Linked DNA regions of Mus musculus: all the other regions are reported to be linked to region 1. Evidence: microRNA targets listed by miRTarBase, many of them from high-throughput screens and not tested one by one. Region 1 holds a microRNA gene; each other region holds the end of a gene's coding sequence.

Region 1 (4,000 bases):
CTTGGCGTTCCCCTGTACTGGGGCATATAAAGTTTACAAGTCCAAAGGGCCTCTCTTTCCAGTGGTGGCTGACTAGGCCATCTTTTGAGGTAGAGGTTTTACTACTTGAATTTACTACAGAATTTGCACTTGCCTGACAGACCAGCTTTAAAAACATCCTTACTGATGTCAGTGAGATGGCGTCCTGCAGCAGGAATTCCTGCAGCAGGAAGGTTCAGGTGACAGGGGCATTTAGGCACTTTACAGTTTGGCATTTTTGTTTTTTCCCCTCTCAGAATGGAAACTGAAAACCAAAAAACTATGGAAGAAAGCACTAAGAGAAAAGAAGAAAAAAAGAAGCGCTCCCGGGTTAAACAGGTGCTTGCAGATATTGCTAAGCAGGTGGACTTCTGGTTTGGAGATGCAAACCTTCACAAGGACAAGTTTCTGCGAGAGCAAATTGAAAAGTCTAGAGATGGATGTAAGTTTTTTGTCTTTGTTGGAATTTCCAACTCACATTTATATGGGGCCAGAGCCTCCTGAGAGCTCAGTACTGTATATGTTCATGACACACAACTGCATGTTGAACTCGTGCTTGTTTGCACACATGTATATATTCCAGTGTTTAACATCCCACTATCCTATTTACTAGATGTGGACATTTCTCTCCTGGTGTCTTTTAACAAAATGAAGAAGCTGACAACTGATGGGAAGCTAATAGCCAGAGCATTGAAAAGCTCATCTGTTGTAGAGGTAAAAAACTTACATTTCAAGTCACCCACATCCAATTAACTACTGACTTTATTTAGCTTTCCTTTTTTTTTCCCCCCTCATAAAGTTGGACTTAGAAGGGACCAGAATCAGGAGGAAAAAACCCCTAGGTGAGAGACCAAAGGACGAGGAGGAACGCACGGTATATGTGGTAAGAAATGACACAAATTTTAATTCTAGTTCATTTATTTATAATTCATTTATTGGTAAAAATGTAGGAACTTTAAAATGTTCATACCATGATTTATTACAGGAGTTGCTCCCCAAAAATGTTACTCATAGCTGGATTGAGAGAGTATTTGGGAAATGTGGCAATGTGGTTTACATAAGTATTCCACATTACAAGTCTACTGGGGATCCTAAGGGATTTGCCTTTGTGGAATTTGAAACAAAAGAGCAAGCAGCAAAAGCCATTGAGGTACGTACTTCTGTGGGACCCTGAAAAGTAAAGAAAAAGCACAGGGTTAACAAGAGTAACAAATTCTGCAATCAATCTTTTCAGTTTCTGAACAACCCACCAGAAGAAGCACCTAGAAAGCCTGGTATATTTCCCAAGACAGTGAAAAACAAGCCCATCCCTTCCTTACGAGTAGCAGGTGAGTGCTTACTTAGAGTGGCCAAGTAAACAATAAACTATTATGACTGTAAATAATAAAATCTTGTTACAGAAGAGAAGAAAAAGAAGAAAAAGAAAAAAGGCAGAATAAAGAAGGAAGAGAGTGTGCAGGCCAAAGAGTCGGCCGTGGACAGCAGCAGCTCGGGCGTGTGTAAAGCCACGAAGAGACCAAGGACGGCCTCTGAGGGCTCCGAAGCAGAAACCCCGGAAGCTCCAAAGCAACCTGCAAAGAAAAAGAAGAAGCGGGACAAGGTGGAAGCATCCAGCTTACCTGAAGCCAGGGCAGGGAAGAGGGAGAGGTGCAGCGCCGAGGACGAAGACTGCCTCCCCCCAAGGCCAAAAGCTAAGAAAAGGGCTCAGAAGGATGGCGTCGGCCAAGCAGCTTCCGAGGTCTCCAAGGAGAGCAGAGGTACCGTGGCAGTAGGGTTACAAATGTTTTAACCAGTTTAACCACAACAACGGACTTACGGAAATCTTTTTTCTAGACTTAGAATTCTGCTCTACTGAGGAGGAGAAGGAGACAGACAGAAAAGGTGACTCACTCTCAAAGGTGAAGAGGAAGCATAAGAAGAAACACAAGGAGAGACATAAGATGGGCGAGGAGGTTATACCATTGAGAGTGCTGTCCAAGTAAGTGGCCACTGACACAGGTCCATCACCATTGCTAAAGTGCAATTCCAATTTCTATTCAACAGAGTTGCATGTTAGCAACAGTGACGGCCTTGGTCTATCTATATGCAGCACAATGAAGATTAAGTAGGAGCCACCACACTCAAACATGGAAGCACTTATTTTTAAATGCACAGCAAGTGCCTCCATGTTAAAGTAAAGGAGGCCCCTTAAGCAGACTTGAGTGGTCTTTACAAAGGCATGAATATAAAGGAAAACATACCATCACCAAAACATGGAAGCACTTACTTTCTTAGGTCTAAAGCAAGTACAACCACGTTTAAGTGGTGGGAAGCCCAGTCAATAACTCCCTTAACCTACAGCATCTTAGAGAAAATGTTGAACAGTTTAAGACACCCCCACTGAAACATGGAAGCACTTGCTTTTGTTTAACACAGCAGGTAACCCCATGTTAAAGCAGAGGGGACTCCCATCAGACTCTGAATTAAAAGGCTAGCTTTCTTATTCCAGAGTTTCTTGAATTCACTTCTACTAAAACATGGAAGCACTTACTCTTCGATGAGACAGAAAGCATTCCCATGTTAAAGTTGAAGGGAACCCACCCACAAGGCAACTAGTTAAAACAGAAGAGCAAACCCACAGGAAAGTAAAGTGACCCGGTTACAGACATAAGCTTTACCTCCTTTACCTTCGTGACCGCCTCCCAAAGAGTCCTGTTCTGTCCTCGGAGGGTGAAAGACGCCGACTTTAGACCACTTGTATTTATACTACTCCTAACTCCTGAGTTCCTTTTGGCTTTCTATCTCTGAGAATCATTACAAGACCCTTTGTTATTTTAATGTATCAGCTCTGGGGAAAGTAGGTCCTGGGGACCTGGGTAGGTCTGGATTTTTTTTTTTTTTTTCCTTTTTTGAAGTAAACAGATGTCAATGTTAACTGCTAAAACCATTACCACAAGATATCCTCCTCTTTAAAAAAAATCTCCTATCTGCCCGTTTGATGGCACAGATTAGGGTAACAATGAGCGCTCCCACAGAGCCAGGAGATGCATTGTGCTTCTCTGGAGGAGCCCTAGCTGTTTGAAGATACATCTACATGTTAAATGTATGTAAATAAATAAATTGCTTCCATGGGGTGTTTTTTTCTTCTTAGAAATTCCTTTTGATTCAAGTAAATCCTAAGGAATGTTAGCTCTCAAATTGGAAGCAATTTGAGAAATCTTTAAGTTTTAGTCTCTTACTTTTTCTCCAGGTTGCCTGATTTAGTGATTTTACTTAATAGAAGTGACTCAAAAGTGATTTTACAATTAAATATTAGAAGCAACCAGGAAACTCAAGCATTTTCCTTGCCTGTTAAGACAAAGAAACTTCCTTTGTGTGTTTGCTAGGTAGCTTTAACAAATGGCTTAACAAATAATGTAAACATATGCCTTAAAAGAAAGAAAAGTCAGAAAGACTTGCAGTTCCTATGAACATTGTGTTTAGATCAACTTCAGATTTCTAGTTGGGTCGTCTTATCACTGTAATGGCTCAATTTTTGTTTTTCAGGACTGAATGGATGGATTTGAAGAAAGAGTATTTGGCACTGCAAAAAGCTAGCATGGCTTCTCTAAAAAAAACAATATCTCAAATCAAATTGGAATCAGAAATGGAAACAGACTGTAAAGCGCCTAGTAAGTGTGCAGTGGGGAACGGAGAGGGTGACGCTCATGTAATGGAAGAGTGGGCTTTAGTCTATGAATGGTTTCAGGGGCAGTTTTATTGCAGTGATAGAGTGGCTTCCTCAGTTTTAAGCTGAACCATTTCCAAAAACAAAATGTTTTAAGAAAAGTAAAAATGTGAAGTTTTGTATTACACACTAGGTTTTAATAGTCTGTTTATTCTTCTCTACTTACCTGCGAGCTCACTTGTGAGTGCCTGGAGAGAGAAATAAAGACTGCAGGCTTAGTGGATGATGTTCAGCAAGCAGGAGCATATTAGAGCACTACTCTCGTTCATTGTAATA
Region 2 (4,079 bases), not on the chromosome of region 1:
CCAGGGACCCACTTGTTTCCTTGAATAGTGGACAAAATGGGCTCCAGAGATTCTTATCATTTCCAGTTTGTTCGTAATTCATAATAGCACTAACACCACTTCCTTCTGGGCTGATGGTCAGGCAGGAAGCCCGACTTATATCCTGCCTGAACTTTCAGGTAAGCAAAACTATCACAGTTATAGAACTATCACACACACACACACACGCACACACACACACACACACACACACACACACACACACACACGCACGCACACACCCATTAATGTGTACATAGAAACATTAATGCCATAGACTAAAATCATCAGAATTGGTTTGCAAAAATAATTAGGCATACATTTTATTGCATGTCTTCGCCAATATTACAGACACCATTAACAAAAAGAAACAGTCACCGCTCAAAAGACAGAAATCTAGACCTCAGCTTTGTGCCCATTCAGAAATCTTGTTAAAACAGCAATTCCAAAAGACAAGTCAAATCTAAATTTTATTCATTAAAACTGAGACAATAAAATAACTGAGAGTATACAACTTAAAAACAAATCCTTTGCCTGGAATATTTCAATCTGCTAACATCAATGCACATGCAAGAGCCTACTATTTACTGGCTGAATAAACACACTTTCCCTTACAAACAAGGTGTTTACGGTTAGAGAGACCCTTCTGATGACTCTGTTACCATTTTAAAAATAAAACAAGTGCTAAGATGCTCATAGAGCCAATCTATTCACAGGACTGATTAAGTAAACAATAGAATGGGAAACTCCTTGCTCATCAAATATTTTCCTAACATTTAAACATGTAAATTCTACAGCAAAATGGAGAACTTGGGTGGTTGGCCAAAAACTGGAAATAAGTGAAAGCGTCTCTTGCATGTTTCACTATGGTGTGCTTTTGGAATGAAATTGGACCATGTCTGCATATAAAAACACAACTCCAGTTTACTTCATTATGTATAGTATTCTGAGTTATATTCTTCTGAATTACAGACAGAAATAATCTACCAGCCTAAAAAGGACCGAGGGGCCATAAGCACCTATAGAGAGACAGGTAACACAGGAGGGAATACTCTAGTCTTAAAAGCCTCGTCTCTCTTTGGCTAGGGGCACAGAGATACTAAGTAAAAGTATTTTCAATGGTCCCTTCTCAATTGCATCCATTTAATTCTCTCATGCGACAGACACGGGGCTTAGCCAGAACAGCAAAAGGATGGGGCGAGGTGAGAATGCATGTTGGAGAATTTCCTCCTGAATGAGCATTTATGTATATTTCCCTTAAATAAAACCCAGGGCCAACCATTGCTCATGGAATCTCTAGCCAGGTGGGTGGTCCATAAACTGTAAGGATGCTAGGTAACTTACAAAAAAGTAGTAAGAGATTTTCATTCTAAGAATCAGTGAGAAACAAAACAGCCACAAGTACACACAAACCTTCATGTTTTCAATGGTCACCCTAAACAAGCTACTGAAACTCAGAGTCTTCCCCCTCTCCATCCTGACAAGTGAACCCTGAAAACAACTTTCCTATGAAGTCCTGTGGGCTGGTTCTCTATGGAACATGCATTTTCAAATCAAAGTCAAAAACCTGAGACTCACTCCCAAAATTTGGGCTGTGCTGTCTGGATAAAACGTTAGTAGGGAACTAGTCAAAATATGGCAAAACGTGTACTTCTGAAATAATTTAGTTTGGGAAATATTTATACTCTTAGTCAAAAGAATTGCTTTGAAAGTTGAAAACTTTTTTTTAAAAAAGCACAATCAGTCTAACCGTTGTCAAAATAAAATGAGTAGAAAACTAGCTCTCATGATATCCTGGGAGAAACTCACCACTTCAGGGGAGCTCAGCTCATGTAAATATAAAAATTGCCTTTCCATCTTCCAAACTGAAACTGACCAGCTACTCAGCACCACCCACGTTAAAAGGAAAGACACAGAAGTGCTTCTCTCCAAGTTGCATAGAGGTGAGGGCCCCAGAGGGAGGTGCAATCGACCTTTAGGGATCCTCACCGACCAACTCAGCGAGACAGAAGAGGAAACTGAGGCCCAAACAAGAGAAACAACCCCTTCCGCTGAGACATCTGCTCACACAAGGTAAGAGCTGCCCAGGTGCCCGGCTGCCTTGTGCTTTCCAGGAGCTCCAAGGCACCAATCAACAATGACCAAGACAGCCTTTCCCCCACTGCAATAAAGAGGAAGCCTCTCCATTTCCAGGTCAGCGCCCACTCTGAGGGGAGTTGAACACTCTCTGCAGAACTGGGCTGGCCCACTTCAGTTTCACACATTTCGGTAAAGGCATTTGGGGTTGGCTTTGGGGAAGTCTCACTTGTGTTGACTTCAAACCATTAGACATTAAGGACGGGAGGCCCAGCCTTCTGAATGAGCTTCATTCTAGGACATCCATAACTAAGGAGGTGCAATCAGAAAATGCCCCATTACTCACAAACAAGTTCACAGAGAATGCAGCTTACAGAGCGGGGTGATGTGAGGTGTTGAGATATGGGCCAGTTCACTCCAACGGCTCCCGGTTACAGAGAACTGAAGGTGAATGTCCCACTATCTTTCTGAGATACCTGTCTGCCAAGAAAGACCTCCAAACCACCTGTGGTGGCACACGCCTGTAATCCCAGTACTTGAGAGGTGGAAGCAAGACTCAGGAGTTCAAGGTCAGCCTGGGATGCCTAAGATCTATCTCAAAATAAAATAAAATAAAATAAGACCTCCAAACTTGCATTCAAGACCAGGACCCTCTTCCAATGAAACATATATCAACCCCAGGCCTTTTCCTCAAGATCAAATTTCTTCAACTTTTATTTTACCAAAGACAAGTTGGTTTTTAAAAACCTAAAATGTAATGTGCTGGCTGAAAGAATGTAATCAGAAAGTAATAGTTCTAATTACACATTCACATGTTTTGATAAAGAAAAGAAGAGAAAAGAAAAGAAGAAAGAAAAGTACATGCAATGAATTTACAAATCAGAATGAATCATACCCCATTTTGTCTGGACTTTTATGTTCTAAATATTAAGTCTTGCATGTAGTTTGTGGTGCTGTGGGTCAGACTCAGGGTCTTGCACATGCTAGCTAAGCATTCTACTGCTAAGCTACACCCATACTTCAGTGTTTTGTGTATCTCAGTTCACAGCAGCTTTCTTTAAGGAGTTGCAGGAGACCATATTGACAAAGCTTTTAAATAAAACAACCCGAGAGCAAAGAAGGCACTTTGAGATATTGAGCAGCGGTGCTCTGTGTACCCAGCTTCAGAGTGATATCCCCAGATGAACCACGGCTTTCCAGTGTTCTTACAGACAGCTGCCAGGTGACTTCTGGTAAAATACAGTCATCTTGGGGCACGGTGACTTTCCGGAGGCTACTGTCAGCTCCCGAAGAGAAGGCGCTCTGCTGCTAGCCTATTTCTCAAACCTCCAGAGCTGGTTTTTATCAAGGGCATCACACGTTTTCATATGGACACTAGGTCGGCCCTCGGCTGTCCGGTAAGCACTAAGACACAGTCTTGTGTGAGGGTGAAAAATCGTTCCGTCTTCTTTAAAATGCCAAATGATGTTCACTGGAACTGGGAGCCCGTCTTTGGGGCAGTTTTGCATCCCTACATAATCCTTTTGTTGGGGGACCTCTGCACATAATTCAGTCACGGAATTGAATCTGATTTCTTTGTTTGAAGTATATTCAAAGAACTGATTGCCTCCTTGACCGTGGCATCCAAACAACGAAAGATTAGCCCCCGTAGGGTTGTTGTCGGGAGCGTTATAATCTAAGCACTCGGAAGAGATGCCCATGCTGCGGATGGCTCCGTGCCAGCCAGGTCTATCCTCGGGGACGTGTAAGTTAGAGAACACATTTTTCAGATACCAGTCGAAGCTCTTACATTTCAGCCGTTCCCTTAGTAACTTCCTTTCAGAAAGATCGCCATAGGCCTCTTTCCGAGCTGGGGGGTTTCGGTTATAGAAATGCTCTTTGTATTCATCCATCCACACTTCGGCCGCCCGCGCGGTATTCTGTAGGAAGTTGGGGCGAGCATAGGGCGCGCGCTTGGGAAACACGTGGCCCACGTGCGAGCATGG
Region 3 (4,079 bases), not on the chromosome of region 1:
TAATAGAGACACTATAGATTGCCTGAGCCAAACCCCTGATGGAAATGTGGATGTTAAAGGCATTTCTGGTGAGGGCACAAGAGGAAATGAATACTGTAGTGGGAACTGCAAGAAAGATTGTTGTTATATAGCAGCAAAACCAAACCAAACAACTTATCTGAATTGTCTCCTACAGTTTTATGGAAAGCTAATCTTGACCTTGTAAGGGACAAAGTTGAGGAACTTGGCAGGCCCTGTTGTAGGTATAGCTCGTTCATTTTTGCTGGGGAAAAGAAGTCTTAGGAGAATGGGGAGGAGAAGAGACGATACTAGAACATATGAGACATGCCAGTGAAATGGGATATACTAGGGGGACCATAGCAGTGGGTAGTGGTAGAGGCGAGGGCACATAAGGTGGGGAGAAGGACCATCATCATCATCACCATCACCATCACCATCATCATCATCATCAATGACAACAACAAGGCATGAAAAATGCCACAATGAAACTCATTATTTTTGTACTAAGTTTTTTAAAAGAGCCCGATAGGAGGAAGTGAAGAAAGAACCATTATATCAAGAAGGAATTAGCACTTGATTTGGTAAATTTTGTTAATAGTGAAAGATGATAAAATGAGGAAATTCTGTGTGAAGATAAATTTTGTTGTTGTTTTGTTTGTTTGTTTGTTTGTTTTTGTTTTGTTTTGTTTTGAGACAGGGTTTCTCTGTAGCCCTGGCTGTCCTGGAACTCTCTTTGTAGACCAGGCTGGCCTCGAACTCAGAAATCCGCCTGCCTCAGCCTCCCAAGTGCTGGGATTAAAGGCGTGCACCAAAAGGATGCGGCCTGCCAGCTTTTGAATAGTGGTGAAAAGATCAGGCACACATTTCTGGATTCATTCAACTATCTCAAGTACAGTGCTAAGCTATCTAGGAAAGAACCTAGATGTTAGCTTGCATGAAAGAAGGGTCATAGAGATATCATAAAGTTCAGCGTGTGTGGTGAGAGGATTATCCTGTCTTCAGATGGCGGTCTCTAAATGCCACCATCAACATCTTTACAGGACAGGCTGAGAGAGATCAGGTGCACAGAGAAGATGATATAAAAAGGAGTAGAGAAAAATGTGGCCATAAGCCACACAATACCGTTGGCCATCAAAAAATGGACAAATCACAGAAGGGGCCTCTGTTGTAGCCTCTGGAGGTAGCATGAATGGTCTGATGTCCAGATGTCAAACTTCTGGCCTCCAGGACCATGGGACAATAAATTGTTGTGGTCTTAAACTACAAGATTGATGGTCAATCATTACAGTAGCCAAAGGAAAATATTCTAAACAGTTAACTTGTTTTGTAATATGCTGAAGAAAAAGCTGTAGAAAGGGCATTTTTCATGTGTGGCAGATATAAACAAAAATACATAAAATACTTCAGCCTAATTTGGTTTTCTTTTAAAAAAATGCCACTATGTACTTTTGTTTTCAGATGATACCTTTCGACCGAAAACAAAAAATGCAAGTGACCAGAACAGGACCATTATAAGTCACATGAGTTAATTCTGTGTCTGTCCCCTGAAAGGTTTTCTAATATTTGTGAAAAGCATGTGGAATGCATTTAAATACAAATATATAATTTATCAATAATAGTACTTCATTCATTCTTGTTTACAAACTAGAAAATAAGGCAAGTTCACATCTGGAAAAGGTGACATACCTCAGTATTTCAACCTTGACCAGTTAGAAAATATGGCAGGGCAAATGCCCTAAATTTCAGTCAACGTTTACATTTCAAGATTAATTTTTTTTTACAGCCCGAAAAGCTATAAAAACAAAAACAAAAAACCTCAAATAAGCCATACCACAATATTTCAGAAAATACTTTGTAAAATTGAAAATGCATACAGTAGTTATTTACATTAATTAGTAGAACCTAAACTTCATGGTTATTGTTTTAAAAGTGTGTGAAAGTGGTATGTTCTAAAGTGTGTGTGTGTTCACATAAGAAAAAAAGGAAAAAACTCAGACATTGTTACGTTCTGATTTTTCTACTTATAGTAGCTTCAGAGTATTTTGAAGTATCATACCTAAGTAAGAACGAGTGAAAGGCAACCATGTAAATTACTTTATATCTGTAGAAAGAGTCGATGAGCTACTGGACACTTGTTTACTTTGTCTCAGAAGGTGGCTTGTCAAGCCAGTTATTTGTTCTTTTCTCTAAATGTCTATAATGTGCTTTGGCAGAATAGAAATAGAATTATCTACATAAGAAATATACATACAAGCAATCTTTTACAGCAATCACAATCATCTGCATGAATTAGTCTTGAAATTACACTCCAGAGAAGTCACACCAATTATTACAAATGCACATTGTAGGAGAATAGACAAGTTAAGTATAACTTCTGCTCTCTCACATATTTAAAACAATGCCGAGCTTCTTTACCTGTTAGCGTTGTTTTGGCAGTATCACTGAAATGCGTTAATAATATAAGGTAAGTAAGTATGATGATGACAGAGAGTTGGGTATGGGTTATTTCAGTAAGAGATACACACACACACACACAAACACACACACACACACACACACACACACACACACACACACACACATACATATACACATGCTGGGGAGGGACATAGGGAAAGGTAGGGAGGGAAGGAGGGACAGGGGAGGGAGGGAAAGGAAGGAATGGAGGGAGGGAGAGGAAGAGAGTGAAGTAGGGAAGGAGGGAGGAAGGAAGAGAGGGAGGGTAAAAGGGAGGGCAGGAGGGAGAGAGAATTGCTTTTTCACTACCAGAGTGGAGTGGGAAAAGGGGTAGAACTAGAGACCAACCAATTGAACTTTCAAAAGTTTCCTACTGCCTCCTGCATTAAAATGTCACTTTCCCCCTCTACACTCTTCTGCAGTTCTGTTCCCTACCTCTAAGGGGGTGAAGGGAGAATGAAGTAATGGAAGAAGTAGAAATCAATATTTTCCTCTAAAATCTAAATAAAGGCAAGAGAATTTCAGGCTCATCCCTAGCATATACATGAAAAAGTCTACACTTTTCTCAAAAATAGTTATATAAAAAATTTCTATAAGTCTGTGGAGACTTCTTAAATACATTTTAAATAAGAGTGAAATCTAGTGGATTCTGTTAAACTTTGGTTTATTTTAGCAATGCTAAGTGCCCGTGACCCTGTACTGCAACATTAGAGTAATGGTAAGGTTAATTTCTGCCACATGGAAGAATCCATTAGCTTTCACTTGAGATGGGTTCTAAATACCTTGAGTTGGGCTTCTCTTTCTGAGTGTGATATTTGCTCCTTTACAATCATTAATGCGCCTATTCTCCTAGACTTTACACTATATACATAAGATGAGCTGAAACTAGACAATAGAAATTCTTCCTGTCTATCTCTCCCCTGCCCTTTGTCTCTTTGTGGGGTATGGGGTGGGTAGGTCTGACCTAGAATTTCAGTTTTAAATTATTTGACAGACTGGAATGTTGGTAGAAGCCTTAGGATTCTTCCATGGTTTTTGTTTTTTTTTTTTACTTTGATCTTCACAATCAGGTCCTTACACACAATGACAAGTTATGTGCATCTTTAGAGAGGAACAAATGTTTCCTAATCATGACATCTGAGTTCAGATTAGTGTACTTGCAGTAACTACCAATACACTTCCCTTCCCCCAGATCAGCTTGACCTTTGTGGAAATGCATTTCTTTCCACTCCAACTCTTAAGTGTATATTTGTTCCTTTCAAAATGGATGGTTTTGTTTTCTTAAATGTCTCCATTCTCCCCGGCCTCGGGAATCACTTGGATGACATGGCTCCATTGTGGCGAGAGCGAGATCTTTCCAGAGGGGGCCGTCTGTTATCTGTAAGACAAAGAGAAGAAGACAGAAAAAAAAAAAAGGTGAGCTTTAGATCCTGACTATTTCACAGTGTCAGGTTGAGAGAGGTTTCCAAACAGTCTTGAAAAATCACTTCAAATGAATATGGAAATAAGCTGCAAAGAGCCCGGATCTGAGGCGTTTACACAGCAGCTGCCAGGCTGGGTTCAAGAGTTCTGCAATCAGCAATAAATGACTTTTCTTGGTAAGCAGAGGCAGAGTGACAAAA

What was found. The annotated mature microRNA mmu-miR-302d-3p reads UAAGUGCUUCCAUGUUUGAGUGU and lies in region 1 at 2,135-2,157, opposite strand. An mRNA with a match to its seed (bases 2 to 7 or 8) in the 3' UTR can be bound and repressed. Matches are read on the target gene's strand: a 7mer-m8 pairs with bases 2 to 8, a 7mer-A1 pairs with bases 2 to 7 and ends in A, and an 8mer does both.
Region 2: the mRNA of Galnt4 is a reported target of mmu-miR-302d-3p. Seed matches in the 3' UTR shown: 7mer-m8 at 1,935-1,941 and 7mer-m8 at 698-704.
Region 3: the mRNA of Diaph2 is a reported target of mmu-miR-302d-3p. Seed matches in the 3' UTR shown: 7mer-A1 at 3,137-3,143 and 7mer-m8 at 785-791.

The regions. Positions count from the first base shown.
Region 1 is chr3:127,543,822-127,547,821 of GRCm38, reverse strand. Mir302d (microRNA 302d) reads right to left here and starts at 2,198; the gene lies at 2,133-2,198. Larp7 (La ribonucleoprotein domain family, member 7) reads left to right here. Exons shown (of 13, transcript NM_138593.2): 2 at 276-460; 3 at 632-732; 4 at 818-901; 5 at 1,004-1,168; 6 at 1,253-1,346; 7 at 1,419-1,775; 8 at 1,852-1,996; 9 at 3,544-3,668. The coding sequence starts at 277. Gm51018 (predicted gene, 51018) reads right to left here and starts at 2,733. Exons shown (of 2, transcript NR_146435.1): 1 at 2,676-2,733; 2 at 919-1,188. It overlaps Mir302b (microRNA 302b), which reads right to left and starts at 2,594; the gene lies at 2,521-2,594. It also overlaps Mir302c, Mir302a and Mir367.
Region 2 is chr10:99,109,480-99,113,558 of GRCm38, reverse strand. It overlaps Galnt4 (polypeptide N-acetylgalactosaminyltransferase 4), which reads right to left. Exons shown (of 1, transcript NM_015737.4): 1 at 312-4,079. The coding sequence ends at 3,408. All of the region lies in intron 2 of Poc1b (POC1 centriolar protein B), which reads right to left. Among named protein-coding and RNA genes, the nearest start is that of Galnt4, 3.4 kb to the right of the region's middle.
Region 3 is chrX:130,460,627-130,464,705 of GRCm38, reverse strand. Diaph2 (diaphanous related formin 2) reads right to left here. Exons shown (of 27, transcript NM_172493.2): 27 at 1-3,835. The coding sequence ends at 3,771. Among named protein-coding and RNA genes, the nearest start is that of Gm25170, 450 kb to the left of the region's middle.